Linked DNA regions of Astyanax mexicanus. The protein of the gene in region 2 purifies or fractionates together with the protein of the main gene of each other region. This does not show direct contact. Links are inferred from orthologs where the notes say so. Each region holds a gene or a part of one and is shown on either strand. Other genes may lie near its edges.

Region 1 (16,856 bases), on a different chromosome or scaffold from region 2:
TCTATGTTTAACCCAGAACCAGTTCTATGCCCTGTGGAAGTTTTTAAGTCTTTGAATAAGTAGTAAAGACACCAACATACACCCTTAAAAATGAAGCTGCCAAAACGGGTTTATTGTAAAATGCCATATATGACTGCCATTTGCTTCTGTAAAGAACGTTCCAAGCTAATTGCTATGCACAAGCATATATTTTTTTTAATTTTAAATAAATAAATGTTCTAGTAAAAGTTCTACTCTACTCTGCTTTTCCTTAAACAACCCCATATGGCACTTCTTAAAGAGCGTAGTTTTATACACTGTTGTAAACTTGGAGAAAAATGTTCAGAAAAAAATTGAAACTTTCCTTTAGTGACGAAAGACTTCCATACGTTATGAAAAATGCCATGTCCGTGTAAAAATAGAATATCCATCAGTCAAGGAACATCAATAACACTTGGGAGACTGAAATGATTAACTTGTAGTTTGAATTAAGATTCACTTTTAGCTTTTTTTAACAAGCTATGATGCACAGTCTTTTGAAAACATCACTAGTAAACCACAAGCAAATACTGTAATGCTCCCTTATACAAATCGTAAGCAAGCACATTTGCAACATTCTAGTGGTCTCATGCCCAGGCCTCTTACACGGAGGGGATGGGGATTTGATGGGCAGAGGTGCTGTCAAAGTCTTGCAGTGCCTCCTGGTGGGTGTGATAGTGCATGGCCACGTAGCTTTTGGCAAAGGCAGTAGTCTGAGAGTTGACCGGTTGCAGGCTGCTGGGGGAGCTGGGTCCAGCTGAGGGGCTGCTGTTGTAAATACTGTAATAGGGCTCTATGCGAGTGTTGATAGGCGTTGAGGTGCTTGGAGGTCGGGGCTTGCGTCCGGTCATGGCATGCGGACTAGGCAGGCTGTTGCGTGAGTGACTGGGCCCGCAGGCCTGATCCACCAGTCTCCTCTGCGGCTTAGGCGAAAGCACGTAGGCAGAGTTGGTCTCATGATGCGAGGACTTATTGCGGTTGACCTCCAGGCTTCCCTTGCCCATGGCGTGGAGCCGGGTCTTGTGCTTGCAGCAGAGAAATCCGAGTGCCAGCCACTGGACACAGCAGAGCACCCTGCGTCGCAGGCCTGCGCTGTTCCGAGAGTAAACGAATGGGTTTATGCCCGATTTGAGGAAGATAAGGGCAAACCCACAAATCTCAAACTGATAGTGGACGAAGCCACTCTGCGAAGAAAGGACATCCTGTGCCAGAGACACACCCATGGGCAAGCAACAAAACAGGACGGAGATGACTATGACCACACAAGTTACCACAGCTTTAGAATCCTTTGCTGTGGCTAGATTGACTGTGGACACTATCTGGCAGCAGGTAGCTCCAGCGGCAGCCCCTGGCACCAAGGCGCCACTGTTCCTCTTTGCAAATGGGTGTGTCTGTACATGCTGGAGCTTGTTGTAGGTCTGGTTGCGGTACAACGAGGGGACCTGGACAGCACACTGCATGCTCTCAAATCCAGCAACAATGAAGGGTGGTGGAGGGCCCTGCGGACGTGTGGCATCTACTGTGATGATAGGGCACTTACGAACCTGGGCATTCTTGCGCAGTGCTTGGGCAATCATCAAGTACGAGATGGACACCACACCCACACAGAAGGCAAAATCTGCAAGGTACACATACAATACCACCTTGGCCTGGTTGCCTGTGAGGCCAAAATGGGGCAGGCAGGGACCCGGGGTCCTGGGGTAGGCTCTCAAAGTGACCAAAACTGCCAGTGTGAAACTAGAGGTCCACAGCAGAGCGGTAAGCGCCAGAGTGCAAGGGAAGGAGGCAGTGTGGTTTGGCTGCTGGCCCAGGACCATGCGCAGCCGATGCAGGGCAATCACAGCCACTGTCTCTAGGGACATGATGATGAAACCTGAGCTGGTGAGATGAAAGGCAAAGCAAAAGCCCTTAGAGACGCTGCCACCATCGTCCCCTGCGTCCAGGAAGAGCACAAGAGCGAACATGGGTGCGGTGACACAGCAGATGAACAGGTCACAGAAAGACAAGTTGAGAATCATGAAATCAAAGTTGGTGCGGAATTTGCGGAAGGCGGGGTCGAAAAATGACAGGAACACCACCAGATTGCCATAGGAGCCCAGGCAGAAGATGACGATAAGGAGCATAGAGCAGGAGGCCAGTGTGGCTGTGTGGATCAAATCCCAGCCGCTGGGGGCTGAACCCTGCCCTGAGGTGTTGTTAAAGGCCTGGCGCTGTGTGGTGTCTGCCAGGTCCAAGGGCCAGGCAGTGCTGTTCATCGTACACATGAAGACAGGTCTGGATAGCAGGTAGCAGGATAGTCTTCCTACTTTGCCTTTCGCGCAGGGTCCGGCGAGGTCCAGTGTTCGGAGCTGTTTGTTCTCTTGGAGTACTACAGGACAAAGAGGGGGACAATGAGTCTAATTATGAGTAGGACTTTAAAAAGCTTATAAAAAAAATAGAAAGAAGACTCCTGTTGTTGGTGAATTCATTAAAGATTTTACAACAGAGGACACCTGAACAATGAAGGATCCTGGGCCTAATGGCATAAAGGCTGACACTGACCAGCAGTTTTAATGGTTGTTAATTTTGGTGATGATAATTTAGTTTAAAATCATAAACTGACTTATACCAGATTAAACTTTGGTCAACCAGATTAACTACCATGTCAAGATTGAGCTGGTAGCTGGTTTCGGATGGTTTAAACTAAATGGTTGAGGTGGACAGTAAAGTGGTTGTAGCTGGTCATCTATACAAAAACATACCATATTCTGGTAAGATAGCTGGGATAACCAGCTCCTGGCCAGCATAATTTGATTAGATCATACTGGTTGTCTAGCTTGATCAAGTTAATTACAGTTGTAGAACAATTTAACAAAAATATACCCTCTGCTGATCAGGAATGGTCAACCAGTCAAACTGTGGGCAACTATATTAACCAATTTATCCAGCTTGAGCTGGTAGCTGGTTTTGGATGGTTTAAACTAGATGGTTAGAGTGGATTGTTAAGGTGGTTGACCTTGGTCATCTAGAATAAAACATAGCATATACTAGTAGGCTAGCTGGTTTTCAACTCTTGACCAGTATAGTATGTAGTATGTTTTATTTGGTTGATGATTTTGGTCATACTGGTGCTGTTGGTCAATCAGTATGGCCAGGCTTGTTCATAATCATGGTTGTAGCCATCATCCCCCAAAAAATACCCTATGCTGGTCAGGAGTAAAACAGTTGTCAACCAGTTTGTTCAGGCTTGTGCTTGTTGCTGGTTTTGCATGGTCTAAACTGGATGTTAGAAGTAGATGGTTAAGATAGATGAAGCTGGTCATCCAGACAAATCATAGCTACCTTAGGCAGGAAGGCTGGCTGATTAATCAGATCTTGGTCATGATGGTCATATTGTTCATCCAGCATAATCAAACCAGATCATATTGGTTGGTCTGATTGATCAAAATTACACCCTATATTGAGTCAAATTGTGGTCAACCAGATTAACCAGTTTGTCCAGCTTGAGCTGGTCATGCTGCTTTTTCAGCAGGGGCCTGTCAACACAGAGCTGGGCTTTCATAACGCCCATTTAAACAGATACATAGTGTCGGAGGTTTTTATATATATCGCTTCATACGCGACCACACTACTACACACTGTGCCCCCCATTTATGACAGATATGCTGAGAAACAGCGTCTGAGCAGCAGGACACGCCATTATCGCTCCGTTTTCAGTCAGATCATCGGTTTTTGTGCGTGAAGCTCTTCTGCAAAATAGAATGACGTGTTTTCCTCAGCACTGGAAAAAAAGCGATTCTTACCGTGATGTCCCGCTTCTTTCCCATTTTCCCCCCGAGATACGGGTCCAGGTTTATTACTGAATCCTTTATTTCAGCAGGATGAAGGAGGAGAGGAGCGGTGATGGAGGAGAGGAGAGGAAAGCCTGTCTTTTGCTGTGAAAATCAGAGGAGGCGGGGTTGAGTGCTTCACTTCAGCCCTAGACCTGCACCCTCCGTAGTGAGCGAGCAAGTGAGGGAGCTATTATATAATAATAATAATAATAATAATAATAATAATAATAATAATAATAATAATAATAATAATAATAATAATGCTATAAAATAGTGCATTCCATACATTTACAGGTATATATATATATATATATATATATATATATATATATATATATATATATATATATATATATATATATATATATATATATAAATTCTATTACAAATTAAGACAATAAAAACAAACAATAACCTAACAATACAAAGCGAGTAACTGGAGCTCCTTAAATTCTAAAATTTAAAAGTACAAATAAAGTATGAATACAAATTCTGATTAATATGACAACCTAAAAGTACAAGGATAAAACCAATACAATTATATACGTTTAAATATGTTAACTGTTTTTTTTTTTTAAAACATTAACAGACGTGCTTGACGAATATCTTAGTAAAATAAAATAAAATAATAATAATATGCTTCATTTAAATAGCAGGTTTCATACATTAACAAATGAGACACAATTGCAGTTCAAAGTTTTCTTTCTTTTTTTTTCATTTAGCAAGCACACCACATATAACAATCAAGGGCATCCCAGATAAAAAAAGATAAGCAAATAAACAAAACAGCAGGAGAAATATAAAACTTTCTTAATTTTCAGTGGAAGTCAATGTAAAAATATTTTAGGTAATTTTAGAGAATTTCTATTGGTCCATTTATCAAGGAATGTTTAGACAGTGTATTAAGGGATTATGTGTTCAAATTATGTAGTAAATTTAAAAATCGACAAAAAATATTTTGTATTTGACAGCGGTGTACCTACACTGCAGTGAGCTTTATTAGAATATAACTGAAACATAACTGGATAGATCTTTCCAAAAAAAAATGAGTGTTCCAAACATACATGTTAAAAAAGATACAACATAATACACACTATATATATATATATATATATATATATATATATATATATATATATATATATATATATATATTAATATTGTGTACCAGTTCTGTTCTATATCTTTACATAAAAATATTAAATATTACACAGATAGATGTTGTGCAGCATTTTTGAATGATTTTATTATTAATGCAAAAAGGAAGTGACCAATTTCAGTATGACATCCTTCCAGGTTCTCTTACCGACTCGTGCTGCTGAGCTGTGTGACGTCCTCAGTGCAGACGTTGCGTCAGCAGCCCGGAGCTGAGTGTAGATCAGCCGGCAGTTAAACCCACTGTCCTTCCATATGTAAGAAAAGGTGGGTTTTTTTGCCCACCCCCACTCTTCAGAAATCTGCTGCCCAGTTGCCATGGAGACAGAAATACCCCGGCAGCCAGGTGTTGCTATGGTAACACCTGGGAAGAGAATGAGAGGAAGAACAGGAGGATGAAAGGAGAGAGGGAATGCTGAATCACTAAAAAGCTTGCGCTTTATTCGCTTTATTGCACGTCATAATCGGCAAAATACACATATGTATTTATTCATTTGTTTATTTAATTATTATAAATATGCACTGTGACAATAATTCTCAACCAATGTGTCCATTACCCCCAGTCGAAATATAATATATCCAATTTAAAGACCACACTTTTCTTTTGTTTGTTTCTTACCTACTGATCAGGCTCAAAATTATGACCACCTCCAAGTTCCTACACACATCAGCTCCACTGATCATATAGCACACTTTTTAGTTCTGTTATTATAGACTGTGGTTCTTAGTATTTTTTCTCAAAATACTGTATTATCTTCCTTAGTGGCACTGCTAGACTGGAAATGATTCACCAATCTGTTTGCAGGTATCGTCCTGAGGGCAGCATCCTGAGGGCAATGTTCTGTGAAGGACTAGTGGATGATCAACATAAATCAACATAAATTGTGCAGTAACAGATGAGCTTCAGAGTGCTAATAAAGTGTACAGCGAGGGAACACAGTGTTTAAAAACACTGAAACAAGGTGTTCATAATGTTAAGTTTGATCAGTGTATATTCACATATTCACTTTTTTTGTTTGTTTTGTTTTCTGTGTGTGGGCAGGAGTTTCTGCGTATACCTGCAGCTGCTCATCCTCCATCAGTTCTGAAAAGTGCGCTCAAACCTGGCTGTCATGTTGGGAATGGTTGAGGAAAGTAAACAGGTAGAGAATACCATGATCTGTAGATAGGAGAGCACAGTATGCTGAGCCTATTGCTCACCTGCTGCTCACCTGCCACTCTTCTGCCGCTCTCCTGGCACTTACCTGCCACTCTTCTGCCGCTCTCCTGGCACTTACCTGCCACTCTTCTGCTGCTCTCCTGGCACTCACCAGTTGCTCACCTGCCACTTTTCTGGCACTCATCTGCCATTCTTCTGGCACTCACCTGCTGCTCATCTACTGCTCTTCTGGCACTCATCTTTTGCTCACCTGCCACTCTTCTGCTGCTCTGCTTACACTCACCTGTTGCTCACTTGCCGCTTTTTTGGCACTCACCTGTTGCTCACCTGCCACTCTTCTGGCACTCATCTGCCACTCTTCCACCACTCACTTGCTGCTCATCTACTGCTCTTCTGGCCCTCACCTACTGCTTAACTATTGCTTATCTCATTTGGTGATATCTCTTCTGGTACTCATTTGTTGCTCACATGGCACCCTCCTGCTGCTCACCTGCTGCTCTTCTGGCACTCACCTCCTACTCCTTTCTAACATAACCCGAAAGCCAAGAGTATAAAACGTAATAGAAATTAATATTAAGGACCTGGATAGATCAGTAATTTGGTCATTTGTTCCAGCTGTGAAGTTGCTTGCAATCTTTGTGACCTTTGGGTGGATTCACACTGTCCTGTTGAGTCTTTTCCAGGAGAACTTCGTCATTTATAGTGATGGGTAACAGTGGGGAACGAGTAAGATAATTGTAAAGTGTGTGAAGTGGTGCAGAAGTGGAAACATTGAAGCTAGAGGGTTGTTCACTTACAGTGACAGTAAAGCTGTAACCAGCAGATGGCGTCATTGTGAAAGAAATAAATGGGCACAATTTTTCAATGGTTTATTTTATGGCCCACACTAAATAAAATACAGTACAGTATTGTGTGTATAGGCTTTTGTGTGTATAACATTCTGAAAATGTGACATAATTATGGTTTGCATCACAACATTATTAGACCATTTTTTACATTACGTTCCCAGCTAGACAAATATTAACGGAACGGTAACATCAAAAGTAACATTCACAAAATGATAAACATAAATGGTGACATTACCATGTTTTAAAACGTTAAATGACAATGTTCAAAAGATATTAAAAAACTTAACAGATTGAATATCCAAAGAACTTTAACTGTAACATTGAGAAAACATTCTACTAGCCAAAAATTGGTGCTTCAAAATTCATATATTTAACCTATTGTTAGTGAAATGGTAAAAACAGGAGGAACATAGGAGGGAAGCAGCATTTTTTGTTGTCACTGAGAAAGAAGTGAGGTGAGGGGTGGAGGAAATTATAATTAACAAGGGTTAGAGCTAAACTTGAAGACTGCAGGTTTTTTTTTTTTATCTTTTAGACCTGTGCAATTGGCCCTCCAGCATCAACTGGCTTGGTCATAATGTTTTGGCTCATCAGTGTACATAAATTCCATGAGAGACTGTGTTAGGAAATGTATTTATAATTGTCTGTATGAGGAGTTTAAATTCCTCACATTCCTCCTTTTTTTAGGGTCTTGCTATTCCATGACATCACAGGCTTCCTCTGCTCCCCTCCCTCCAAGCATCTGGTAAAAGATCGGACTAGAAAAGCAGGTTGTCTTCCAGGAAGGAACTTGAACCTCGATCGAGCGTCAGTGTGAGCCGAAGAAAGAGAGAGAGAGAGGTGAAGTTTGTGGAGGGTGAACAGGTCCGGCTGCAGGGAAATGTTCTGTTCTGTTTTTTTTTTTTTTTTTTTTTTTGTAGTTCTTTGTGTAGCGATAGCACTGAAAAACAGAACCAGATGGAACTCATTTGTTGTAGTTGTCCTCTCCAAGACTTTTCTGCTCTGTCTGGCATTCACTCGCTGATGTCTGATATGAGTTTACAGTATGTGTGGTGTGTGTATATGAGACTATACTACTATGGAATTTTATTTTAGCTTTTATTTAACATTTTTTATGGTCTTCATTAGGAATCTTAATGTAGATTCACTGCTAATGAAATAGTTTCAAAAATAGTTGCATTAGAAAAAAAGTGTGGGATTGTAATGCTATTCAGAAGGAAATTAAATGGGCAATATTTATTCAACTACACATACAGAAGTAGTCTATAATGCATGTGTTATGCAACATGTCAAATGTCTCAGCATGTAATAGAGTTTTCCATAGAGGCTCCTAAGGGTGTCAGGGATCGGCAGAACTATGCCCATGGCTCTTGTATCTTTAAGGGAAGCTCTTTAGCAGTATGTGGATGAGGATTGTCCTGTTGGAATAAGTACATAGGAGTGTGTGTTCAGAAAGGTTGGACACCTGTTACAGAAGCTTATTAATGCACCATTGGGCTGTCAAGTGTGTATATTATTTTGTGTGTATAGAATGCCTAGATTTTTTTTTCTCCAAAAGGTCTCAATTTTTTTTTCCACAATTGTTACACATTTTCACTCGGGGACGGATCTGACGATTTGGGTGGCCATGTCACAGTATCTGTGTCTACTGCAGCATTATGTAAATAAGCATTGTCCTTTTGAAATATTGTGTGTACTCAAAAATTTATGTAATTTTGGGCTGTCAAAGTGCCTGTAATCAAAACCAAAGGTGATCTAATACTGTACACAATTGCTAAGGTAAAAGGAAGGCAACATTAGATAACCAACCTGTTTAGATTAGAGGGGTAAAGAAACATCTCCTGTGTGTATAGAAGGTATGTTAAAAGGTACCTAAGATTATTATGAATATTCTTAATTATCCAAAGTCCTGTGCTTTTAAACCTTTTTGCATTAAACTGTCTTACAATGACAATAGTATTGTTTATGGCAATTATCTTTAGGACAATTTATCATTAGAACAAAAACATTCATTGTGACAGGCCTACTGTAAATACTTTGCACTGCTGAAGAGAGAATGAGATGGAAGATGGGTAGAAGGAATTATTTTACAGTATATATATATTTTTTTTCTGCTGGCCTGTCTCTGAATGCTGAAACCCTCTTTTTCCTGCAGGCCAGAGGCCTCCTCTTCAGCCTGGCTTGGCAGGACGCCAGTGTCAATTCTACGCTTCTCAGAAACACATTCTTTGGTGCTTCAGCCTGTTTCTGCTAGATTAAGATACTGAACATGGGAATTAACACGAGACGCCAAACAGCAGAGCAAGTGAGAGAGCCAGGGGAGCGGTACAGTGCTTAAAAAATAACCTCTTTTCCACATTGTTTTACAGCATTTACACCCTTAAATCTAATCCCAGGTAGCAAAGAACATTGAAGAAATTATTGTTGTATTACACCTTTTAATGTTGATATTGAAAAAAAACAACAACACCTATACAACCTTTATTTATAATGGACTCGCCAGTTTCAGTAAATATTACAATTCAGACATTGAATCAATGTTCATATAACAGGATAGGGGATTTGTGGGTGTCTTCTTTATAATAATAATGATGATGCAGTCCCTTTTACTGTTCCAATGCAGAAACAAATATAAGTAATAATGGTAGAATACAAACATCTTTAATGTTCACAAAATGTGAACAAAAATAAATCAGTTTCTAATGAAATTGAAAAATTAAGTTTGATTTAACAATCTTTTGCTAAATGGGCTAAAGCATGTGTGCACACTATGATCAGCCACTGCAAACAAACACACATACTCACACAAACACTATGACTAGTTGACTTAAATGAGTTTTTATGTTACAAGAAATAGTAGAATTTACATTTTAAAAAATGTACATGGATGTGGAACATAATCATCCATCATTTATAATTTATAATTTATGATTTAGAAAAAAATGAAAAAAAAAAAAACACACACACAAAGATTCTGCTTTACATATTTACTGTTTGGCAAACAAGTATTATCATTTGCATCAAAATGTTTAAGACAATTATCACTCTATCTTTCTTTCTGAGTTTAGTTTGTTCCCTTAAATGTGGGTCCACGTGCATCGTACATCACAACCCAGCGACTGCAGGTTGGGGGGAGGGGGGCGTGGTCGGGATCTGACCGACATCATCACTGTGAGCCTGAAGCTCTGGAGCTTGTCGAGTGATGTTTCAGTTTGATTCAGTTTAACGAACCGATTCTATTGTCGGGGTTGGGTTCGGTGAATCGATTCTATCGAATCGTTTTCGTTCCCTTCATTCAGATGGCACACAACATAACAAATGAGCAAAAGACTACGAATCAAAATCAAAGATACAAACAAACAAATGTAAAAATATATTGTATACTTATATTTCATATATATTTTATATATTTTCAGATTTGAGCAGTGAGTGTAAACAACTGCAAAAAAAACAACAAGCACAAAAGCATTGCCACACAGCCACTTAGCTAGCTTAGGGTAATTTATGGATTGTAACCTATGAAACATACAAAAATATTCTCTAAGCTAAGGGTTAACTATTTAGTCAACTTTTACTCTCGAATCGGTTCTTTTATTTAGAACCGCACCAGCCGGTTCAAATGGGCCGATTCGTACACACGACTCGTTCATTGCTTCAGTGTGGGTCTCGCTCTCGCGCTGGTTCGTGTATGTGTGTGTTTGTGTGAGAGTCGCGAGCGCGGAGCCTGCGGGATTCTAGCAGCACTGCACGCGGCGGAGATCAAAGAAACTCCCAATAAAAACTAACTACACTCCTCGGGAAGAGCCGCTCGAGCGCGGAGCAGCCTGAACCGGGAACGTTCGCGGTCGGCGTCCTAAACGCTCAGAAGAGGCGTTGGGTTTTTTTTTTATATTAGCCAGCACGCGCCGCTTCGGCTAGCGAGCGTTGCCTAGCTACGAGTCCCAGAGAGTGAACGCGGGGGACCGCGAAGTCGGCGCGAGAACCACCGGTACCGCGAGTCGCTCCTGGGCTGAGAGGAGACCCTGAAAACAACAGCGGGAGCAGAAGTCCGGGAAAAGCGAGCCGCTAGGCGCGCGGCGGACTGACGTAGCTTCGCTCGAAGGTGAAAACAGCCCGGTCTGTTTGTTTCTGTTGGTCAATTGTTGCTTATTGTTGGTAAATATGAGTGTAAGAAGCTGGCGAGGGACACTGCGAGCTGAGAGAGGCGAAGCGAAAAGCTAACTAGCTAGCCCAGCTAAGCTAATAGCTAATCGTTCATGCTAACGGAGAGAGGAGAGCGGCTATATTAGCCTGTGCTACCTCTGGGTAGCTAGCTAGCTAGCCAGTTAGCTTAGCATACCTATCTAATACTAGCTGTGTTGGCTGGTTAGAAATGTCTTTACTTCAATTTAAATGCACAATATCGTTAAAAGGCAAGCCTGGCCGTTTCAAAACCAAACCCATGTCATAAACGTATATATACTGACTTTGTTTCATAAGCCAAGTTTGCTTAATCTAATTTATCTCTAATGCCAACCATGCTAGCTGAAACACTCACTCCATAATTCCGCTATTAAAAGACATTGTTTAGTAATATTATCAGGTTTACATCTCTAGGTAATATCATTATTCTGACTAGACCTAATGTAATTTTATTATTCATATGTTACGAAGCGTTAAGTAGCTAGCTAAAGCTAGCTAACTAACCTACATTTGATTTAACGTTACACTTAATCTGAATCTTATTTTTGCTTAACCATAATTAACCACATACTTCTGCTTAACTAATAAAAATGTACTTGTAGATATCTACAATTACTTTAGTAAGAGTAGAAATAGTCATTTTAGATGTATCCCCTGTAACGCTGAGCAAAAAACTATTGCTGCACTTTAAACTTTAAAGCCCATAACATGATTGTTTTTATTAGCTTGTTTTGTTTGCAGTGTTTGTAAATAGGTTTCTAGGAACATGAGGCAAAAAAAAACAAACTTTTCCTTAAAAAATGTTACTTTCCTTGTTGTTTTCAAACAAAACCACTTGAACTGCATAGTCTGCCCAGGCCAAGCAGTTCTTTAGGGGTTGAGAGTGAAGGAGAGGTGGCTGTGGTTGACCGAAGATGAATCTCTTTAATTTACACTATCAACACGTTTGTTTTCTTCATATATTTCAGAAAACCTAACAAGTAATCTTCACGCATTAATAATGTTTTATAAAAAAAAAAACATGATTATTCATTATCCACTTTGCTCTGCATATTAAAACAGGTATGTGTTAATCATAGTTTAACGGTTTAAAAACGTAAAGCCGAAAAATAAAAAAATAAAATAAAAGTGTAACGTTAGTAGTGGAATAGTATTAAAACGTTATATATAAAATATGAATTATAAGGTATCTTAAATAACAATATATAAAAGCAGTTCAGTGTGTTTTTAGCTACAAGAAGTCAGTCAAGGACCATCAGATGATGATCTACCTAGTTTAAAGAATATCAAATTAAAACATAACTGTATTAGATAAGATAAGGTTCAAGAAATATCAAGCATTCGAGTGCTTCATTGACGTCAAATAACAATATTAAATATTATATCATAACACATTGTTTAATCTACACCAAAAACGAGCTTCCAATGTGGAGTTGAAGGCTGCATAAACCACCTCACTACACCGGGAAGCATTTGGTTTTGACTTGGGTTAGCTCCGTGGCTAGATAATGCTAAGCTAACGAGCTTGCTGGTGGCTAACGTAGCCAGCTATTGAGCTATTGCTATAGCTAGGTTAGTTAGCTTGCTTGTATAGCTAGCTGGCTAACCAGAGCGCCATTCTGCTTATAGCAGAAAATGTGCTTCTATTAATTTGGGTTGTTCTTTTTAATCGTTCAAAGCCATGTATAAATGTGGTGTGAAACCCATGGATAGTGGGGGGGGGGGGGGGGGAAGGGGGGTTTTCAGCTTCAAGTTCTGGAGAGAAGGTCTGGCTAGCCTGCTAGTTGGCTAACTACCTTTCTATCTTTAGCTAACTGGCTTTAAGTCCTCTGCCTGTTCCCTGCAGCTGGTGAATAACTCTGGTTTTGAATGCTCTGTGCTGTGAAAAAGCCAGCCTGTGCTTTGGCAGAAGTTTAAATAAAAAAAATGTTCAACTGGATACACACAACCTAGCTACATCTGTGACCTGCTAGCAGCTATCTAGCTGGTGATCCAGCCTGGAGCTACGTGATGAGCGTGGAGTGGCCGGCTTGGAGCGAAAGTTATTAACTATTCAAAGTTTGTGTTTGTTGTATTCCTTCAGTTCTGAGCGTTTGCACGTTTTTAAGGTTATTAAAATAGCGTTATAGCTAACTAAGGTGCACCCAGGGTTAGATATTGAAAGTTAACTTCTAAGTAACTTTCAGATCTTTTTTTCTGGGGTGCAGTAGTGTTCATCAGCTGGAGTTAACTACATAGCTTTGCTAAAATAGTGGTCTAGTCAAAGTGGAAGTTCTTTCTTTGTCTCCACTTGAGGATAATATTTTCCTTAATAAAATAAAGTGGTTTATTGTGGTTGTAATGTTCTGTTATCATTTTTGTAATAAAAATAATCAACTCATTTTAGGTGAAAAGAATTTTACTGCATCATTTCCAACACTTAGGAATTGGTTGTCCAGCATCTTTCTGTGAGTGCTGTACCCTGATTGACCTTACATTTTTCTGCCCACATATGCTGTAAGGAATGACTTACTCGTTATGTCATTTGTAAGCTGTAAGTGGAATAAAATAACTTGCAGTGTGTGACAGTTGTCTATGAATGTCTCATATAAGAGTTGCTTTAAATCTGTAACACTATATAAAATCAAAATAGCATATCTAAAATAATTAATACAATGTTTTATGTTTATTTGACTGGGCAGTTTTCATAATAATCAAGCACGGATTAAAGAAATTGTGAGCGTGAATTGCAAATTGTTCACTCGAATTAAAGAAAATGTCAGCACGAACTGCTATATGATTCGCTTGATTAAATATATATATATATATATATATATATATATATATATATATATATATATATATATATATATATATATATATATATTTTTTTTTTTTTTTTTTTTCTTTATCCACGGCTCCTCTTGGGATCCGTAAATACATACAGGGTGTTCATTCAACAGAATTTTTTTTTCGCTTGAGTCACATGTCCTTTTTTTAACCTTTTATAAACATATAGAAAGGGGTGGGCAATATGAGGCCTGTGTCTCGGCCTGTGTCTCGGCCTGTGTCTCGGCCTGTGTCTCGGCCTGTGTCTCGGCCTGTGTCTCGGCCTGTGTCTCGGCCTGTGTCTCGGCTAGACAAATTGATCATGTTAGATTATTCTATTTTCTTACTTCTGATATTCAAAATACTGATTCGGCCTCTAAATTATACAGAACGTTTTGAAAATAGGTAATTCATGTTTTTCTCATATTTTTTTTGTAATGAATTGCATCCTTAGGTCAAAAAGAAATGTGCTGTGCTGTAACAACTGCTTCTGTTGCAATTTAGCTTGTTATGAAATGTCCATTGCCTTTTGCCTACATGTGTTTATTATGTAATTACTGTGGTCAAATCCACTGTGTTCGTTCCTGTCCTACACAGCGCTTAAGGTGTGTGGCTTATTTACAGGGAAACACTAAGACCAGGGCTCAACTGTTCAGTTAGCAAAGCTTTGTCTGAATTCCGTTATACTAATATGGAGTATGTTTTGTGGAGCACAATATTCATCAAGCATGATATGTTTGTGATGTTTTAATGACCTCACCGTGCATCTGTGTGTGAGCAACATTAGTATGAACTAATGATGTAATGTTTCACCTCCCCCTCCTAACACCCCTGTGTGTCAAGGAGCTTGCTCACACACCCTCCCCGATAGCATGTTTCACTACAAAGTATGTCATATTATGGAAGGTGTTTTCTCATCTTATTGTGTCTGCTTACTGTACTCTGAGGCACTTCTACCCATAGTAGCTTTAGAGAATGAAGCTCGTCGGTTGCTGAACAGTTTGTGTATGTCATCTCTGGTCCTTCATCAGTAGTCACAGGACATTTCCTTCAGGACTATGCTGGTGGACTATTCTCTGCACGTGTACTATCGCATCACACACTGATATACTGACCCAAATAATAACTGCTCTGTGGTGGTCCTTTGGGGTCCTGATCATTGAAGAGCAGATTGAAAAAAGACGAAAAAGTATACAGGCAAACAGAATGACTATAACCAGCAAATATAGAACTATAAAAAGTCCTAAATGCTCAGTGGAGCTGGAATGGTGGATAATGGGTGTAGAAACTATATAATGTTATGCTTGATCAGTGTATGTGAAGAATTGCTCTGAGCTCCATTCACTTATGTTTAACGCATGTGTCCTGTTCTTTATTCTGTGAATATTGGATGAAAATATGAAAGATGAGTACACAGGTTGCAGGGTCAGTGATGTTGCTGCTGAGCTATTTACAGATGGGTGTTATGCATTTGCTCTTTAGCCTATGCAAATAATGCTGGGAGTATAATGCAGTTTGTTTGGTTTAGATTAGCAGTGTGGGTCTGTTCTTTGAATGTGTGCTGTGTTGCTGCCCTGTGGGGTTCCTGTTAGGATGCAGCGGCCAGAGGAAAGAGACTGATAAATGAAAGGAAGGAGAGAGGAAGTGAATGCTGCAGCAGACAGGAAGTGGAGAGAGTGAGAGAATACAGGACATTTAAGATTAGGGCACTTGAGTGCTCACATAATTGCTTACATTTATAATACCCAGTAGATTGAAGGTGTGATGATTATTTTAACATTTCAACCATATTCTTTTTAAGATGCAAATCATGGATATCATAATTGTGTAAAGAACACTGACCATGTTGTTCATTTTATAACAGAGTACAAAATCTAACTAGATTATGTGCAGCAAAACGGAATAAAAATGTGGTGCTATGCATGAAAGTGTTTGAATAGCAATTTTTAGTTAGTTAGTCTGCCATTGCTAATGCTTTTTGTTTGCTTGTCAAAACAGTGCTTCTATCATGAAAATGTCTTTAAATATTTCTCTGAGGAACCATTTTAAGCAGTTTTATTTTTAACAATGTGAATAAAACAAATAAATTAGTAAATGTAATTTATATCTCTTTGCACAGCATATTCAAAGGTACAAATTCACTGGTTGGTAGTTGACTAATCTGATGATTATTTTTTTATGATTAGTTGATTAGTCAGTGTTTAGTGATTAGTCAATGCCCCCCTTTTCATTTAAAATAGAAAACACCTAAACGTTGGATTTAATGCCCTGTAAGTACCCAGAATATGTTTAAATGTTCAATTTGTGTAACCTGTTATGTTCGGGCACCTTTGGAGACACAGGCCAAGTTAAATGCAAACTGTGAATTTCATTTTTTTTAAACATTCTTTTACATTTTTTTTATGAGCCATAACAGTATCTGTTTATGGATTTAGATTTTTTTATTTATTTCAAAATGCTTTAAATACTAGTCTCTACTTTTCACCCACTTTAGGGACACAGAGCCCCTCGTGCTCGGACCCCTGTTGGCCCCCTTTGTTGCAGTGTCATGGAAACAGCCCGTGTCTGTCGGCTGGTTAGAGCTCTGAGCAATGTGAATTATTTAGAGATCTCTCTCACACACACACACACACACACACACACACACACACACACACACACACACACACACACAGTACTTTCTTTTATCTGGACAGCTGATACCTTTTTTGCCATGTTTTATGTCTCTCTGTTTGAACTGCAGGTGTTTTATTGCTTTTACAGGTTATTGGTAAAACCTCAATTGGGAATGGAGTTTAGTGCCAGTGTAGACTATTAGTCTTTAAGTAGTCTTTTAATAGGGCTGCACAATGTATAATTTGTTAGTTATGGTGA
Region 2 (16,568 bases):
CTTAAAAAGATAAAAGTGAAACTGAAAGTGAAGCAGTGCTCTTTTCATTATGTAAGTGTCAAACATTAAGACAGTCAGATGTCAGATTAAAAGATGAGTAAACAGCCAAAATGAATATGGATTTGGTCAGACAATCGGATTTGGGCCACTTTTACCTGTTATGTGAATGTAGCCAAAAAACTGAAAATGGATTTTGCTATTCACACTTCTACACATTTAAAATTAACACACCTTCCTCACATATAAAAATCTGATTTTGTCTGCTATGTGTATGTAGCCCCTATGTAAAACCTCCTGCATGTGTTCGACTATGTGTCTCCACTGCTCACCTGACTGGTGACCTGATATTCCACATGTTTGAGGAACAGGCCTTTCTTCTCTGGAATGAGGTCCACCTTTATCGTGTCCTTGCTCAGCAGGTTGGCCAGGGTCAGAGACAGGAGCAGAGGGTTCTCCTGGACCGGCTGCATCCTCAAGTTCTGCAGGTCCTTTGGCTCTCCTAGCTGGGGCTTAGGAAACTCTGTGACAACATGCACACACCACACACACACACACACCATACACTTCATGACTAACAGAAAGGTGCTGACAAAGCTCTATTCAGTCAAGTGTGACTAACAGAAATTCCTATGTACACAACAGAGCAGGTAGTTAAAAGGTCACGTCTGATTAGAGCAGGCCATCAGAAAGTCCCCCGGGTTTTGACGAACAGGACATACTTAATACTAAAGTAAAAAAAATATGAAGAAAAACATATAGAATTATTTAGTAAACAAAAACATGTTAAACAAAGCAGAATGGTTTCAGTTAGCAGCTGTGCTGAACTCATCAAGAGTTAATTACTTAACTTTTTTGTCCTCTTAATGTCTTTAAGAGCATCAGTTGTAAAGAGGTAGAGTTCAAGAACTTTGAAAGTATCCTAATGAGCATTATGATGAAACTGGCTCTCATCAGGACCACCCCAGGAAAAGAAGAGCAAGAGTTACATCTGTTGCACAGGATAAGCTAATAATACGTTATTACAAGACTCCTTATGTGTTCCTTCATAATTTGAATGACTTCAGTGTTACTTTACAATATAGGGGAAACAAAAATAACATTAATAAACATATATTAATCATATATAATACATTTTTGGGCACAGAATCATTGTTAGTCATGTGACAATGTTACATAATAGCAATTCTGAGGGCGGGAGAAACAAGTCAGGAAGTTGACTCTGCAAAATACCACACAGGAGGACAGGAGGCAAGATAACAAAAAAAAACATCTCTATTATCTTGTACAGTTACATGCCAGAAAGTAGTTCATGGAAATAGTGTCCCATGACTTTTTTTGCAATGTCTTATGTAGACTGAAGAATGCTATTCTGACTTGAGTCACATGTCTGTTCCCAATAATAACTTCTATTCATATTAATTAATAATATTAACCTTCTCTGACAAACAATATGAAATGTCAAATCCCTCTGATACCTACTTTTAGGCCTCTCTCCAACTCACTTACAAGGTAACACCTCAGAACTTATACAGGTGTGGGAATTCTCAAGTCACGGGAATTCAATTTACATACTGTTATCCCCTGATTCTTTGTACATTAATGTACAATCTTTTACTTTGCCTAGGTTTTACCAAACTTTCCAAAATGAATAAAAATCAAATTTTACAGATACACAGAATAATATACTGAATATATACAAAGTAGACAACAGCCACAGAGTCTGTGTTTGGTGATGCAAAGCCCGGTTTCTCCGGCACATTCCACACAAAGGCCTGGGTGGAGTGAAATGGCATGTGACAGACGGGAAAGCTCATGCTTCAGGGAGAAACAGGACACATCAGCTTTCGCTCCTCGCAGCTGAGCTGCCACAAGGCCAGCACCTGAAATAACACCAGGCGCCCTAAAATAATGCAGTTCTGAAAGAGAGCTTTAGCTTGAGGTTACGAAGATGAAGAAAAAAGCCACCGTTCAGAACAATGTCGGCTTTAAACGCAAGCAGACGGAGTTCTCAGACTCTTATTCTGACCACATGCACACAAACCAAAGAAACCATTAGGATTGGCTTTAGGATGCAGATATCAAATTTACAGCAAAACTAAATGGCCTGCAATATAATCACTGTGACGCTGAGAGTCTCACAGAGTGGGAGCCCAGTCAGGCTAAAGCACAGAAAGTGCTGACCTAGATGTTGCTTTTTTTTTATTCTCAGTGAAAGCAATGATTACACAACTCATAATGTATCTGTGAGAACGTTCTAGACCAGGAATCGGGAAAGACTGAAGGACTCTTCAGACTTTTTTTTTCAGGGTTTTCAGATATCTCTGCTTTATGTTGTCCATTCACTACACGACTTTGAAAAAACTCTAAAAAAAAAGACTTTTAAAAAGACAGACTAAAGTCCGACAACCTCTCACATCTAAAGACAAGTCACAGATTTTTTATTCACAGACCAAGACTTTGCTAAGACTGGGGATTACTATTTCTGAGATGATTTCCCATCATGCTTCTGGTGGAGTTTAAATACAATACATAATACGTATTAAGTTACACATAATGTCTATATTAATACTGTGTTTTATCAGAGAATCACAACTTTTGTCCCCATCAACTGTTTATTTTTCTGCCACACTGTTAGTTCTTAATATTTTATTAATAGAATATATTTTGTGTTCAACCCTTTTTTTGCTACAACCTTGTATAGCAAAGAATCATAATCTCACTGCTATACATTTGTTTTAGATCAATTTTATGCAATAAAGAACAACATTCTTGCAAAATGTGTATTTATTAAACTTGTACAGTAGTGCAAAACAAAATAATTTTAAATATAATGATGGAAAAGTGCTAACTGTGTTTAAAATACTGTACATATTAAAGTAAGAACCATATAAGGTATATTAACTGCAAAATGTGTTCTTTTATAAATCGCTTGGAAACAGTCACGTAAATTGTTCTTGCTTTGCGGCTTCCCGTAGCTCTCCTATTGGTTGTTGACATTGTTAATGTCACTATTTGCGTGAGCTGAGTCTCAAGACGCCAGGATAAGAAAAAGACTTTCATGATTTTATCCCGACTTTGAAAATTTGTCTGCAACAGTGAAATTGCTTAAAAATCATTAAGAGTCCAGACAGTCAACCATTACATAACCTGTACTTGTAAACCTAGACGTAGGTGGGAGAGGAGTGACTACACACTGACGGTCACTGTCTACTTTATGCAAATAGATGGTGCCTGAGGTCAATTGGAAAGGTGTGAGTTTTCTCATTTAATCTTTGCTGCCCAAACATTAGGCACAGCCAAAATATCACAATATTTAACTGAACCAACTTAACAGTTCACAATACAAGACTTAAAGACATGATCTACGCACTCTTTCTGTCTGAACATTCTCACATTGCAGGATTTTTACTACTTAATTGTTATAAAAAATATATTTTAACCATACAAGTAACTGGAACCTATAAAACAGCGAGTAAGTAAGAAGTTCATTTTGTTGCTAACTGGGTAAAGTCACAGCAGCTATTAGATTTTACAGTGCAGGAATCCAGCACTCCAGGACCTTCAGGCACATGATAGGAGGCATGACGTATCTTCTGAATGCTGACGCGCAGAAAACTGTGCCTTTACTAGCTCCCACTATGGCAGCACATGACCCGTTATATGGAGTAATTCATTTAGGGCCAGTCAGAGAGACGTTTGTCCATAAAATGCTTGGTGAATTTCATTTCCACGGGAGAGGTCAAATGGGCTGCTACTTACCTTGTATGCAGTGCTCCAGGAGCTTAGGGCTGGGGTGCTTTCCTTGTTGAGCAAGCGCAATCAGAGCCAAGGCCTTGTAGAAGGATACCTTACTTAGGAAGCCGTTGCCATTATCGACATGTTCTGTAATCTGGAGGAAAGACAGAAGTGTTGCTGTTATCTGGAGTGAAGATAAGAGCCTTTAAAAGTGTCACAAGTGTTCATGTGCTTTCAACACACTACTATGTAGACTCTACAGTACTAGACTGTAGAGTCTTGAACTACATCAATATACTAGTGCATCAAAAAAAAATCATTGAAAAGTTACTTTATTTCACTAATTCAGTTCAGAATGTAAAACTCATTCATCGTTTATTTCTTTTATTGTTGTTGATTATGGCTTACAGCCAATAAAAACCCAAAAATCAGTGTCTCAGAAAATTAATTAGTACTTTTGGCAGTGTGGGCAGTGTACCAAGTCCTGCTGGAAAATGAAATCTTCATCTCCATAAAAGTTGTCAGTAGCAGAGGGAAGCATGAAGTGCTGTAAGATTTTGTGGGAAAACAAAACTGCACTGACTTTAGACTTGATAGAACACAGTGGATCAACACCAGCAGATGACAGACATGACTCTCCAAACCATCACTGATCATTTTATTTTCCATTTCATTTGTAAATCAAGGGAGCAGAGTCTGGAGAAAGAGTGGCGAGACACGCAGTCCAAACTGCTTGAGGTCTAGTGTGAATAGTAGAATAAATGTTTCCCTCCCTCTGAACAGAATGAGTGCGATGATATTGGAATTTTATCGAACGATAAATGTCTACATTTTTCAAATCAATACTTGCTGATGTATTTATTATATACCAGAAAAAGACAAAGCAATGCTGGTCGCACTACTACAGTTGGCCAACACTTCGTTGTTTGGTGCGGTGCAGTGGATAACACCACTACCTGCCAGGGAGCTATGGTACTGGGGTTCAATTCCCGGTCTGAATTAAAATGCTGCACTACACTAATAAGAGTCCTTGGGCAAGATGAAGTCAGCCACCGCCTCTTTTTAAACTGCTGCTGATGCAGCATTGCCAAGTAGCATCACTGAGCGCTCGGAGGAAAGCGCAGCCACTCAGTTCTGATACATCAGCTCACAGACGCCTTGTGCTGATCGACATCACCCTAGGAGTGATGTGGGGAGAGAGTGCCATCTACCCACCCAGAGAGAGAACAAGACCAATTGTGCTTTCTCTCAGGGCTCTGGCAGCTGACAGCAAGCTACATGAACGGGATTCGAACCAGCGATTTCCCAATCATAGTGGCAGCGCTTTAGTATGCTGGACCACTCGGAGCCCTGATTCATGCTTTTTATTTAAATGAATTTTAATATTTCTATTGTTTATTTAACCTGTTAAATTAAAAAACGGTTTAATATTATAATAAACTGTTATTATAACTGTTACTATACTATTATTATAAACTGTTATAAACTGTTTATTGAAGCTGTAACCTATGAAGTCTATGCAAGGACCAGGTAGCTAAATCAATGTAAAACAAAATCAAATATTTTAGGAGAAAACTTTTATTTTATTGTTTTTATGTTTATTGTTTTATTTGTAAAGTTATGCCAGTGTGTCTAGTCTATTTGTAAATTATAATTATGTATATTAGCATTGGCAGACATATACAAGTGTATTATTGGATATCAGCATTTATTTTTCAAGACAACAGAGAGGTTTAATCCCAAATTACAGTCAGACTACTCCCTCATTACTGCACTATACATGTATAAGGCAGGAAATTACAGATTCTAAATGTAAATAGAGTATTTAATATTAGTGATTGAACAGTATATACAATTCATCATATGTGAGTTTTCAAAAAGCTCCTGCACCGAGAGCATTTTGTAAAAGCTCTGTTTTCAGTGACCAGTGGGAGGAACAGGAGGCCAAAACACATATATTTTTAGAAATATCCAGATGCATGTGGTCAGGGCCGTACTGTGACATTAACCAACCTGGTTCTGCTGGTTGAGCGAGAGATCGGTTCCGTTGAGAAGTCTGTGGAACACATCGATTTGCACTCGTTCGTCTGTCCTGCTGCTGATAGCCTGATGCACTTCTCGATAATACAGAGGGACTGATCCTGAGGTTGAGGCAGAACAGATAAATAATTATATTACAGGCCCTAAAACATACAGTTTTGACCAATATGTAACATTACAGTTTAACCAAACACAAACAGAGAGGTGAAGAGGAGAATAAAACCACACTCAAGTAAAAGTCAAACTAGAAGTAATGACTTTTGGACATTACGAGGAGCTGCCCTTTCATTCATGAAGTACACACACACTTAAACGTTACACACTTACAGAAAATACAATTTCTTCAGTGTAACATAATGTAAAACATTACTCCATTACCCCTGTGCAACTAAGAGGCAATGCGCAATTATTTTTAAATACAGTCTTAAGAGTTCTTTACTGTTTATTATTTATATTGTACTATTTATTTTATATATTTTTTTGTGCCATGCTTTCCCTTTGCTGCTGTAATACTGTGAATTTCCCCACTAAGGGACTAAAAAAGGTTTAAAAAGGATCTCTAATAAAGTCAGCTACAGCTACAAGTAGGCCTGGCTATATAATTGGGATAATACAATGTGTTGCCAATTTAAGACGCATTATGCCACTGATATAATGATATTACAGCAGCATAATAATACATGTATACATTATATTGAAAGGGCAATGAATGGTTAAGGATTATGAACTTCCAGAGACTTAAAATTAAAGTAATCTAAAGTACATGAAATATAATACTTTACAATAAGAGTACATTAATTAACAATACTTACGGCAGAATTTCTCAACTAATTATTAAACGACACTAGTTAAGACATTAGTAAGCACTGACATTTTTAATAATGTCATAAGTAGTGTTGATTACACTACTTGACCATTTTACGATGTTTATTACTGTCGTAAGTATTGTTAATTGTGACCCTTAATATTATATTATAGTTTTAAGTTATACCAAATAAGTAAAACACAAAAACACTGTTATTAAACCAAGCATCAATTGCCTTCTTTAAATGAATGGGCTCTTCTTATTAAAACTAAACTAAAACCAAGCTTTTTTATTTATTGAGGTTATATCTGTATAGTGTGATTTGTTGATATTTACATAACTATGCTATAATGTTGGATATGTTAATTAAACTGACTAAAACAAGAAAAAACAAGGTACTCTAAAAAAGCTGAAAATATATCTTGCTTTCTCTTCTTTTCACATTGTTAGTACTTTTCTTCTTGTATTGTTTTTGTTCTTAATATCTTGTATTTTTTTCTGTATTATGTCTTACATTTATTTCTAATTTTCCAATCTTATTTATTTTCATTCTGTTTTAAATGTAAGTTCTTTCCCTTTAATTTATAATTTTTTATAACTTTCTTTTTAACTTGTTCTACACTGAGTCTTAAATCTTTCTGTAAAGCACTTTGAATTGCCTATCCTACACACACACACACACACACACACACACACACACACACAAACACACACACACACTCCTACAAAGAAATAACCACTGCGTCCCAATATAACCTCAAATTTGTCTGTCTGTCTGTCTGTCTGTCTCATTTCCATGCTGTGCTCTCAGCCCAGGACCTGAACCTCCATCCTGATCCTTGCTTACGCAACAGGTCCTCAGTTTCCTGGCGTTCTGTCTTTTATTATGGGGGGGATACTTTTCACTATTTGCCCTGTGTCCCCCCCCCCCCCCCCCCTTCCATTCCTCTAAACGCATCTTTACTCAAAGCCTGCATAGATGCCCCCTGAGGAAACCCTGGCAACATGTATAGGCTGCTGAGACCCTCTCAGAATGACAACCAGCAGGTCACACTGGTAAACAGAGCCAAGCCAGTGGGAACAAACTGTTCCCTGCTGGACAGATACTGCTTTATACAACACCTGGAACACCTGGAACAGCTGGATCAGCTGGATTCAGTCTATACAGACTATTCGCACCTCTTTTACTACTTGTTTAAGCCTTTTTTTTCAACAGGTGAGACCTGTCGATGTATACATCCTGCAGTGTCCCATTACTCCACTGCTTTTCCATCAAAAAACTCTGTATGAGTCTTATTTAAACACCACCAGACAGTTATATCTTCTTCTCAAGAACGAGAACGAGCCAAAAACCCAAGCCCAAGACCTAAATCGACCTCAAACGACGTCTGGAACCACTTGTTCCTAAATGATCTGTAGAAAATAGTTTGATTTCTTTCTCAAATTACCTTCATTCAGCTCTCCTTCCATAGTCCAGGCTGTCATGTGAGTGCACCAACACCTCCATGTGATTTCCTGAAGGAAAAGGGAAAACAGCACTTTTCTACTGCCTGGAGTTGGAACGATATGCATTTGTTTCACACCTGTTTTCAGGTTGGTCCCGCCCCCTTTGCGAGGATTGGCTACAACAGTAGACCAGCGTTCCACTTGGAGGCTCTTGTGCACCAGGATTGGCCCCCACTAGGACTATCCCCTTTCCCTGGGCTACGATTGGTCTGTGCTAGCCAATCAGCACGCAGTCCCACCTCTTGCCGGAGAACAGGTGTGGTATTTGGAAAGTGTGTGGGCGGAGCTAGCCGTCACAGTGGAGGGAGGAGAAGTTTTAAAGCAGACCCAGCTCTCCCCCGTCGTGGTGTGGGAGGGAACCAGTGGCAGGTTCTCTCTCACCACCAACTGCACAGTTTCACATCTGTTTCTGAGCCTCTGGCTGGCTGTGGAGGTCTGATGTGGACTTTAACGCTTTGCTGTTCTGTTATGGACGCAGATTTATATGGGATTATAGTGGTGCTTAAAAATGTGTGAACTCATTTGTGAATTTTCTATAGTTCTGCATAAATATGACCTAAAACATAGTCAGATTTTTAAACAAAAAATATCAAGACAAAACAAATTGTACTTGGTTGTTCATTTGTTGAGGAAAATGATCTAATATTACATATTTTGTGAGTGGCAAAAGTATGTGGTGGGGCTTCGAGTGGCTCTGAGTGGTTTAGCAAACTAAGGTGCTGCCACTAAGATCAGGAGATCGCTGGTTCGAATCCTGGTCATGAATCATGAGAGAGCAAAATTGGCCTTGTTCTCTCTGGGCGGGTAGATGATGCTCTTTCCCCTCATTACTCCAAAGGGTGATGTCGATCGGCACAAGGCGTCTGTGAGCTGATGTATCAGAACCGAGTCGCTGAGCTTTCCTCCCAAGAGTGCTGTGATGCTACTCTGCAGCAGTCGAGAAAGGAAGCAGTGGCTGACTTCACATGTATTGGAGGAGGCATGTGCTGGTCTTCACCCTCATGGTGTAGGGTTATTGTCCTTATAAATGTGTTACCGTGATAGGATGCAGCCCCTGTGCAACAAGTCCAGTAGTAAAATTTCCCCACTACTAAATATTCCACAGCCAACTGTCAGTATTATTGTAACACAGTGGAAGAGACTGGGAACGACAGCGACTCTCTCAGTGTGAAATAACAGAGCAGAGTCAGCAGATGCTGGGGAGCATAGTGCACAGAGTTCACCAACTTTCTGCAGAGTCACTACACCAATCACTACACACCTCCAAACTTCATGTAGCTTCAGAGTTCATCACTACACACCTCCAAACTTCATGTAGCTTCAGAGTTCATCATCACTACACACCTCCAAACTTCATGTAGCTTCAGAATTCATCACTACACACCTTCAAACTTCATGTAGCTTCAGAGTTACTACATCACTACACACCTCCAAACTTCATGTAGCTTCAGAGTTCATCACTACACACCTCTAAACTACATGTAGCTTCAGAGTTACTACATCACTACACACCTCCAAACTTCATGTAGCTTCAGAGTTTATCATCACTACACACCTCCAAACTTCATGTAGCTTCAGAGTTCATCATCACTACACACCTCCAAACTTCATGTAGCTTCAGAGTTCATCACTACACACCTCCAAACTTCATGTAGCTTCAGAGGTCATCAATACACACCTCTAAACTACATGTAGCTTCAGATTAGTTCATCACTACACACCTCCAAACTTCATGTAGCTTCAGAGTTCATCATCACTACACACCTCCAAACTTCATGTAGCTTCAGAATTCATCACTACACACCTTCAAACTTCATGTAGCTTCAGAGTTACTACATCACTACACACCTCCAAACTTCATGTAGCTTCAGAGTTCATCACTACACACCTTCAAACTTCATGTAGCTTCAGAGTTCATCACTACACACCTCAAACTTCATGTAGCTTCAGAGTTCATCACTACACACCTCCAAACTTAATGCAGCTTCAGAGTTTATCACTACACACCTCAAACTTCATGTAGCTTCAGAGTTCATCACTGCACACCTCCAAACTTCATGTAGCTTCAGAGTTCATCACTACACACCTCAAACTTCATGTAGCTTCAGAGTTCATCACTACAAACCTCCAAACTTCATGTACCTTCAGAGTTCATCACTACTACACACCTCCAAACCTCATGTAGCTTCAGAGTTCATCACTACACACCTTCAAACTTCATGTAGCTTCAGATTAGATCATCAACAGTAGAGTGTAGAGAGACTCATGGAATGGAGAGTTTACATGACCGAGCAGCTCTATCCAAGCCTCACATCATCAAACGCAGCAATGCAGGCCAGCAGATACTTTTATAGGCAATATAGTGCCTATAAAACCATGCTGGCCATTAACCATGCTGGCCAGTTTTCACATTTAAACCCCATCTTAACACCTCACAATTATACAATATAAAGAAATAAAGTAACACTTAATGTTCAATTTACATACCGATATCCTATGACAAGCCTTTCATTCAGTTTGCACAGTGCAAATTTGTGAGCTTAAGCTTACTTATTAGCTACAACAGCCATCACTTATCACCTATTACCTTCCGTAAAAAGTAAAAAAGCAGACTTTGCACACCAAAATATATCTTAGCTGACAGCTGTTTTTTTGAAACTATGAAACTGTATTACGTACAGTGGAAGGTCTTGAAGATTCTTAAACTTCATGTCCAGTCCCAGACACTAACTTCTCTATGAAACACAGAGTAAATGTCTCACACTCTGTTGTAAGAAGTGTTTTGGTTGTTTGGTAACTAAGTATAGAGGTCTGGCCTTGCCGGCAGTTTGGTGGACGTTTTCCTTCCCCATATTTATACTTCTCTATAATCAGATCCCTAATGCATTTATAATGATATTTTGTCTTCATTCTTCATTTATGTTTCTATTAATATTCACTAATCATAGTGTGAGATCATACCAAGGAAAGTGTGTGGGTATGCGAAGGGCTAGGTTTGCTCTGAGAGGTTAATTACATCACTCTATTTCAGTCAGGGTTTATCTGGTCATACAAAACTTTACATCTGTAATGGGTTATCCTCTTATTAATGATATATATACAGCTCTGGGAAAAAAAAAAAAAAACTAAGAGACCACTTAAAAAATGATGAGTTTCTTTGATTTCACCAATATGAAAACCTCTGGAATATAATCAAGAGGAAGATGGATGATCACAAGCCATCAAACCAAGCTGAACTGCTTGAATTTTTGCACCAGGAGTGGCATAAAGTTCCAAAAGCAGTGTGTAAGACTGGTGGAGGAGAACATGCCAAGATGCATGAAAACCGGGATTAAACAACAGGGATATTCCACCAAATACTGATTTCTAAACTCTTAAAACTTTATGAACTTTATAAATGAGGTCTAAAAGCTCTGCATCCTTTTTGTTATTTCAGACATTTCTCATTTTCTGCGAATAAATGCTCTAAATGACTTTTTTTTTGTTTGTAAATTGGGAGAAATGTTGTCTGTAGTTTATAGACTAAAACAATCTTCATTTTACTCAAACATATACATATATAAATAGCAAAATCAGAGAAACTAATTCAGAAACTTTTCTTTTTCTAATTCAGAAATTTCTCCAGAGCTCTATAATAATGTCCATATATTCTTGTATTTTTAATAGCTTGGATTCTTTGGCAAATAAAACTGTCTATACCTCACCATCAATAGAAAATAGAAAAGTCCTTCGTACTGGTAAGGGTTGTGATTGGTCCTAACAGGAATCATTGGACACCAGGCTGGAATATTTTCTATTGTTCTGTGTTTTGATTTGTCTGAGTATGTTTCTTATTGTATTGTGTTGTTGCTGCTGGATGCCTAAATTTCCTTCGGGATGACTAAAGTATCTATCTATCTATCTATCTATCTATCTATCTATCTATCTATCTATCTATCTATCTATCTATCTATCTATCTATCTATCTATCTAGTCCTGGACAAGGCATCAGCCCATTGCAGGGTATCACAGGGCAAGTTACCATTTAGCCAAAATTTTAGTTTAACTTATTACTTATTTAACTTACAGTAGGAGTACAAAGAAATGGAAAAGCGAATGCAGAAAATGTCAGGCACATTGGAAAAATTACTATTTTTACGTGGCCACTAATTATGTTTTTTTTTTTTTTTTTACACATGATGTCACCTTAATAAAATTATACAGTGTCCAGTGTGTGACCTGATCTTCGGTGTGCTGTGTGTCAGTCTGGCCGCTGGATGTCCCTGTTCTCTAGGTTTAGGCAGCGGCTGCTCCTCCGCCCGGCGGCTCGGTGCGGTGGGTAGGTGCAGGCTGGGGCTGCTGCAGTGTGGGGCATCAGTCGGTGCGGTTCACACGCTGGATAAAGGATTTACCCGCGGAGCTCCGACTCAGAAAGCGGAGACATCGATTAATCTGCGTGTTTGGTGGACTGAATACTGACCACGTTCACTGGAGCTCCAGAAACTAACAGAGAACCAGAGAGAGAGAGGAGCCAGACTGGAGCATGAGCGCGGCGGACACGGGCAATCACAGCGGCTGGGTCGAGTAGCATAGCCCGGCTGAACATGAAGATCAGACGGCTGATGGATCTCCAGGACTAGCTCGAAAACAACAGCAGGAATAGGGGATTTATCCGGCCGACTGCAGAGCCTTCAATTCGGGTTTGTAGGCTTGGCTTTTTGGGGTCGTGTCGGTGCGGGTTTGTGGTGTATAATTTGATTGCTGGCTGAGATTTAGACTGGGCTTAATCTAGCTAGTAGCGTTGCTAGGTTAGCTAGTTAGCTTAGCTAGCGTTGCTAGGTTAGTTAGCTGAGATAGCTAGCTTCCAATAACAACAATAAAGGGTCCGGCATTTAACCTAGAAGTATTCGAATGGAGATAAACAGCTAAATATATAACAATAGAGATATATCTAACGTTTAACACAATTAGTTCAATCTTAAATCTCTTTATTCTTCTGTTTAAAGCCTAAATTAATGGAAATATTGAACAACAAAGCCATTCTAGACCCGCTTGATGTTATCAACACTGGACTGACTCTATCTCAGGCTGACACAATGATAAGGCAGTGTAATGAAAAATATAGCTAATATCTGGCTAATTAATAAGACATTGCATATTATTAATCGTATTATTAATAATACATTTCAAGAAAGGACGTGCAGAGGAGCTGGACTTGAAACTACAAATGACCCTAAAGACCCTGAACACCACCACAACCTCCTGGAGTGTTTAAACCCTTCTGAAAAAATGGTTCAAGACCAGCTTTTATTCTGGTGTCTAGTTTTAGATGGTCTTAGTTGGTTGTTAATGGTCATGGTGGTTGAAATTATGCTGGTAACCCTGGCAAAAACGACAGTATGCTGGTAAACTAGCTGTTGAACCAGTCCTTGCTAGTATAGAGTATGCTTTATTTGGTTTTGGTCATACTGGCCATGCTAGTCTTGCTGGTAATGGTCAAGCTTGGGTATAGTGGTTATGTAGCTTGGTCAGGTTTATCTACCTAGCTAATTAATCACATATTGCATATTATTAGCCATATTATTAATAGTAAATGGTGAGAAATGACATGTAGAGGGGCTGGACTTGAAACTACAAATGACCCCAAAGACCCTGAACACCACCACAACCTCCTGGAGTGTTTAAACCCTGCTGAAAATCATTTCAAGACCAGCTTCTGTTCTGGTGGCTAGTTTTAGATGGTCTTAGCTGGTTGTTAATGGACATTTTGGTTGAAATTATGCTGGTAACCCTGGCAAAAACGACAGTATGCTGGTAAAGTTGGTGGTGAACCAGTTCTTACCAGTATACGGAATGTTGTATTTTGGTCATGCTGGCCATGCTAGTCTTGTTGCTCTTGCTGGTAATGGTCAAGCTTGGTTATGGTGGTTATGTAGTTTGGTCAGGTTGATCTAAAGTTACCTAGCTAGGGTAATTAACCACACCTTGCATATTATTAGCCATATTGTTCGTAGTACAGGTCGAGAAAGGACATGCATAGGAGCTGGACTTGACCCAGGTGGTCTTTAACTGGATTTTTCACCAGGGTCTGAACACTCCTGGAGACACCACAACCTCCTGGAGTTTTTAAACCCTGCAGAAAATCCAGTTCCAAACCAGATTTTGTTCTGGTGGCTGGTTTTAGATGGTCCAAGCTGGTTGTTGAGTGTAATGGTGGTTGAAATTAAGCTGGTGACCCTGACGAAAATGACAGTATGCTGGTAAACTTGCTGGTGAACTAGTTCTTGCCAGTTTAGGGTATGATGTATTTGCTTTTTGTCATACTGGTCATGCTAGTCTTGCTGGTAATGGTCAAGCTTGGTTATTAGCGATTATGTAGCTCGGTCTTGTTGATTTTAGTAGTCAACCAGCATGGTTAAGCTTGGTTTTGCTGGTCTAAGTTTAAACTGATCGATTAGTTAGCTTGGTAATAATGGGACATATTGAGCAATCATAGCCAAAATGAAGTCATCATAGTCTACTTCAATGTTATCAACACTGGACTGACTCCATCTCAAGCTGACACAACGATTAAGTAATGTATTGATACCTATAGTATTGCTAATATCTACAATATACATGTATAACACAGACTGCAGATTATAAGCCTTATTGTTATAAATTGTGTTGAAGGACGTGCAGATGATCTGAAATTGAGACTACAAATGACTCAAAAGACAAAAGACATCCAGTGAAATATCCAGCTCAAAGCCAGCTTTTGAGACTATTATCGTCATGCTGGTTGAAATTTAGCTGTTAACCCAGGCAAAAAACAGATACTATACTAGTAAACTAGCTGGTGAACCAGTTCTTCCCAGTGTAGCTTGGTTATAGTGGTTATGTAACTTGGCTAGGTTAATCACACTGGTCCAACCACCTTGGTCACCTTGGTGTTGTTTATCATTGTAGTCAATAGTCGACCAGCACGGTTGAGCATAGTCATGCTGGTTGAAAGCTAAGCCATCAACTAGTTTGGTGATACTGGGGCACTAAGACCAGCTTTTGGGTCTTTGATGGTCAAGGTCATTAAAAAGTGGTAACCTTAGCAAAAAATTACACCATGCTGGTAAACTAGGTGTATAGGTGTATTTGGCCATTTGGCCATTCTGTTTTTGTTAGTCTTGCTGGTAATGGTGAAGCTTGATAATAGTGGTTATGTAACTTTGTCAGGTTGGTCATAATGGTCAAGCAGTATGATCTTGTTAGTCTTGGTGAAGCTGTACTGTTTGGAATCTTTGTCAATTAGCTTGGTCTTGCTGGTCCAGCTGTTTTACCAGCATGGTCATGCCAATCTTGTAGGACTTACTGGTCAGCCAACTTGGTCAAACATGGTTATAATGGTTATTTAGCTTGGTAAAGTTGACCCTTGTAGACCAACTACTAAACCATCAAACAAATCAATTAAAAACAGACCCTGGTTAAAGATGCTATGGTCGAGCAGCTTAACCAGCGTTACCGTCTTGACTTTATTTTCAGGTTAGCATGACGGTTTAGAAATAATGTGTAAAAGCATAATTATGCTACTCTATTGTCATACTTATTATTAGTGATGTAAAATAGTCTTAGTTAAGTATTTCTGGCACAGTGTATAAATCCAATAAATTGAGGTTATCACACAATCATGGCTAAAGCAATGTGATCATGCTTATATAGCTAATGTCTAAAATAGATTATTCATGCTATTATATGTAACAGATGTCAAGAAAGGGCACTCTGAGGGTCTGGACACCTGCCTGAACACCTGAGTGTTCACAGATTGCTGTTATTTCTGTCTTTACCATCCTATCTATCTTAAATCATCCATGCCACTATCTTCTTCAGTTAAGTCTTTCTCCGTTACTGTAGGTGAGAATGGCCGCCGTAGTGAATTACTCTCCACCATGGTGGGTCAACCTTCTTCATCGCCTTCCTCACTTCAACCTGCAGTTTGAGCAAACCAGCAGTGATTTCCGACCTGAGGATTCATCCTACCAACAGGTAAGAGTCTTAGAATGTATCTGTGACCCTTTAAGGCTCTTGTTTACTGTAACACATTTCATATGTCATTATTATAACTTTTAGGATAAATTTGCAGTGTAGTTATGTATTAATACATATATTTCACAGATATTATGTAATTTTAGTGATGGGTATATGTCTAGATGCCGTGTGGAGTGCTGTGTAGAACACTACTGCCAAAGAAGCAGATACAGCTCGCTAGGTAATGTTAGTCAGTTAGCATAACGAGCTGATACACTGGAGTGATGGTACCTCAACTCTGTGGAGTCAAACACTCAATCTTGCCTGGAGAAAAATGAGAATAGCACTTTATCTGAGGAGCTCCTGCTGCTATTCCTCACTGAATGAGTGTTTTTAATTCGAGTAAAATAGAAAAACAACAGCAAACCTGCAATTATTCACTCAGAAAAGAGTTCAAAGGCATTCAAAGTTCCTTTCATTCCCCAGATGAGCTCAGAATCGGTCC

The links.
Region 1: the proteins of snx8a (region 2) and fbxw7 purify together in Homo sapiens (affinity purification with mass spectrometry; 3 studies listed by BioGRID and IntAct, counting the BioPlex papers as one, with this or other methods). This does not show direct contact. The link is inferred for Astyanax mexicanus from reciprocal best matches to the Homo sapiens genes SNX8 and FBXW7.

What each region holds. Positions count from the first base shown.
Region 1 is NC_064432.1:20,338,142-20,354,997, forward strand, and holds the start of fbxw7 (F-box/WD repeat-containing protein 7), read left to right. Parts: upstream 1-10,682; 5' UTR 10,683-11,094; exon of another isoform or gene 11,095-11,108; intron 11,109-16,856. Other genes in the region: gpr75 (probable G-protein coupled receptor 75), read right to left, coding at 621-2,282. UniProt on the Homo sapiens protein: Substrate recognition component of a SCF (SKP1-CUL1-F-box protein) E3 ubiquitin-protein ligase complex which mediates the ubiquitination and subsequent proteasomal degradation of target proteins.
Region 2 is NC_064410.1:56,335,726-56,352,293, reverse strand, and holds the start of snx8a (sorting nexin-8a), read right to left. Parts: upstream 8,139-16,568; 5' UTR 8,066-8,138; coding exon 8,029-8,065; intron 5,877-8,028; coding exon 5,749-5,876; intron 3,890-5,748; coding exon 3,760-3,889; intron 521-3,759; coding exon 330-520; intron 1-329. Other genes in the region: ttyh3a (protein tweety homolog 3), read left to right, coding at 15,956-16,081. UniProt on the Homo sapiens protein: May be involved in several stages of intracellular trafficking. May play a role in intracellular protein transport from early endosomes to the trans-Golgi network.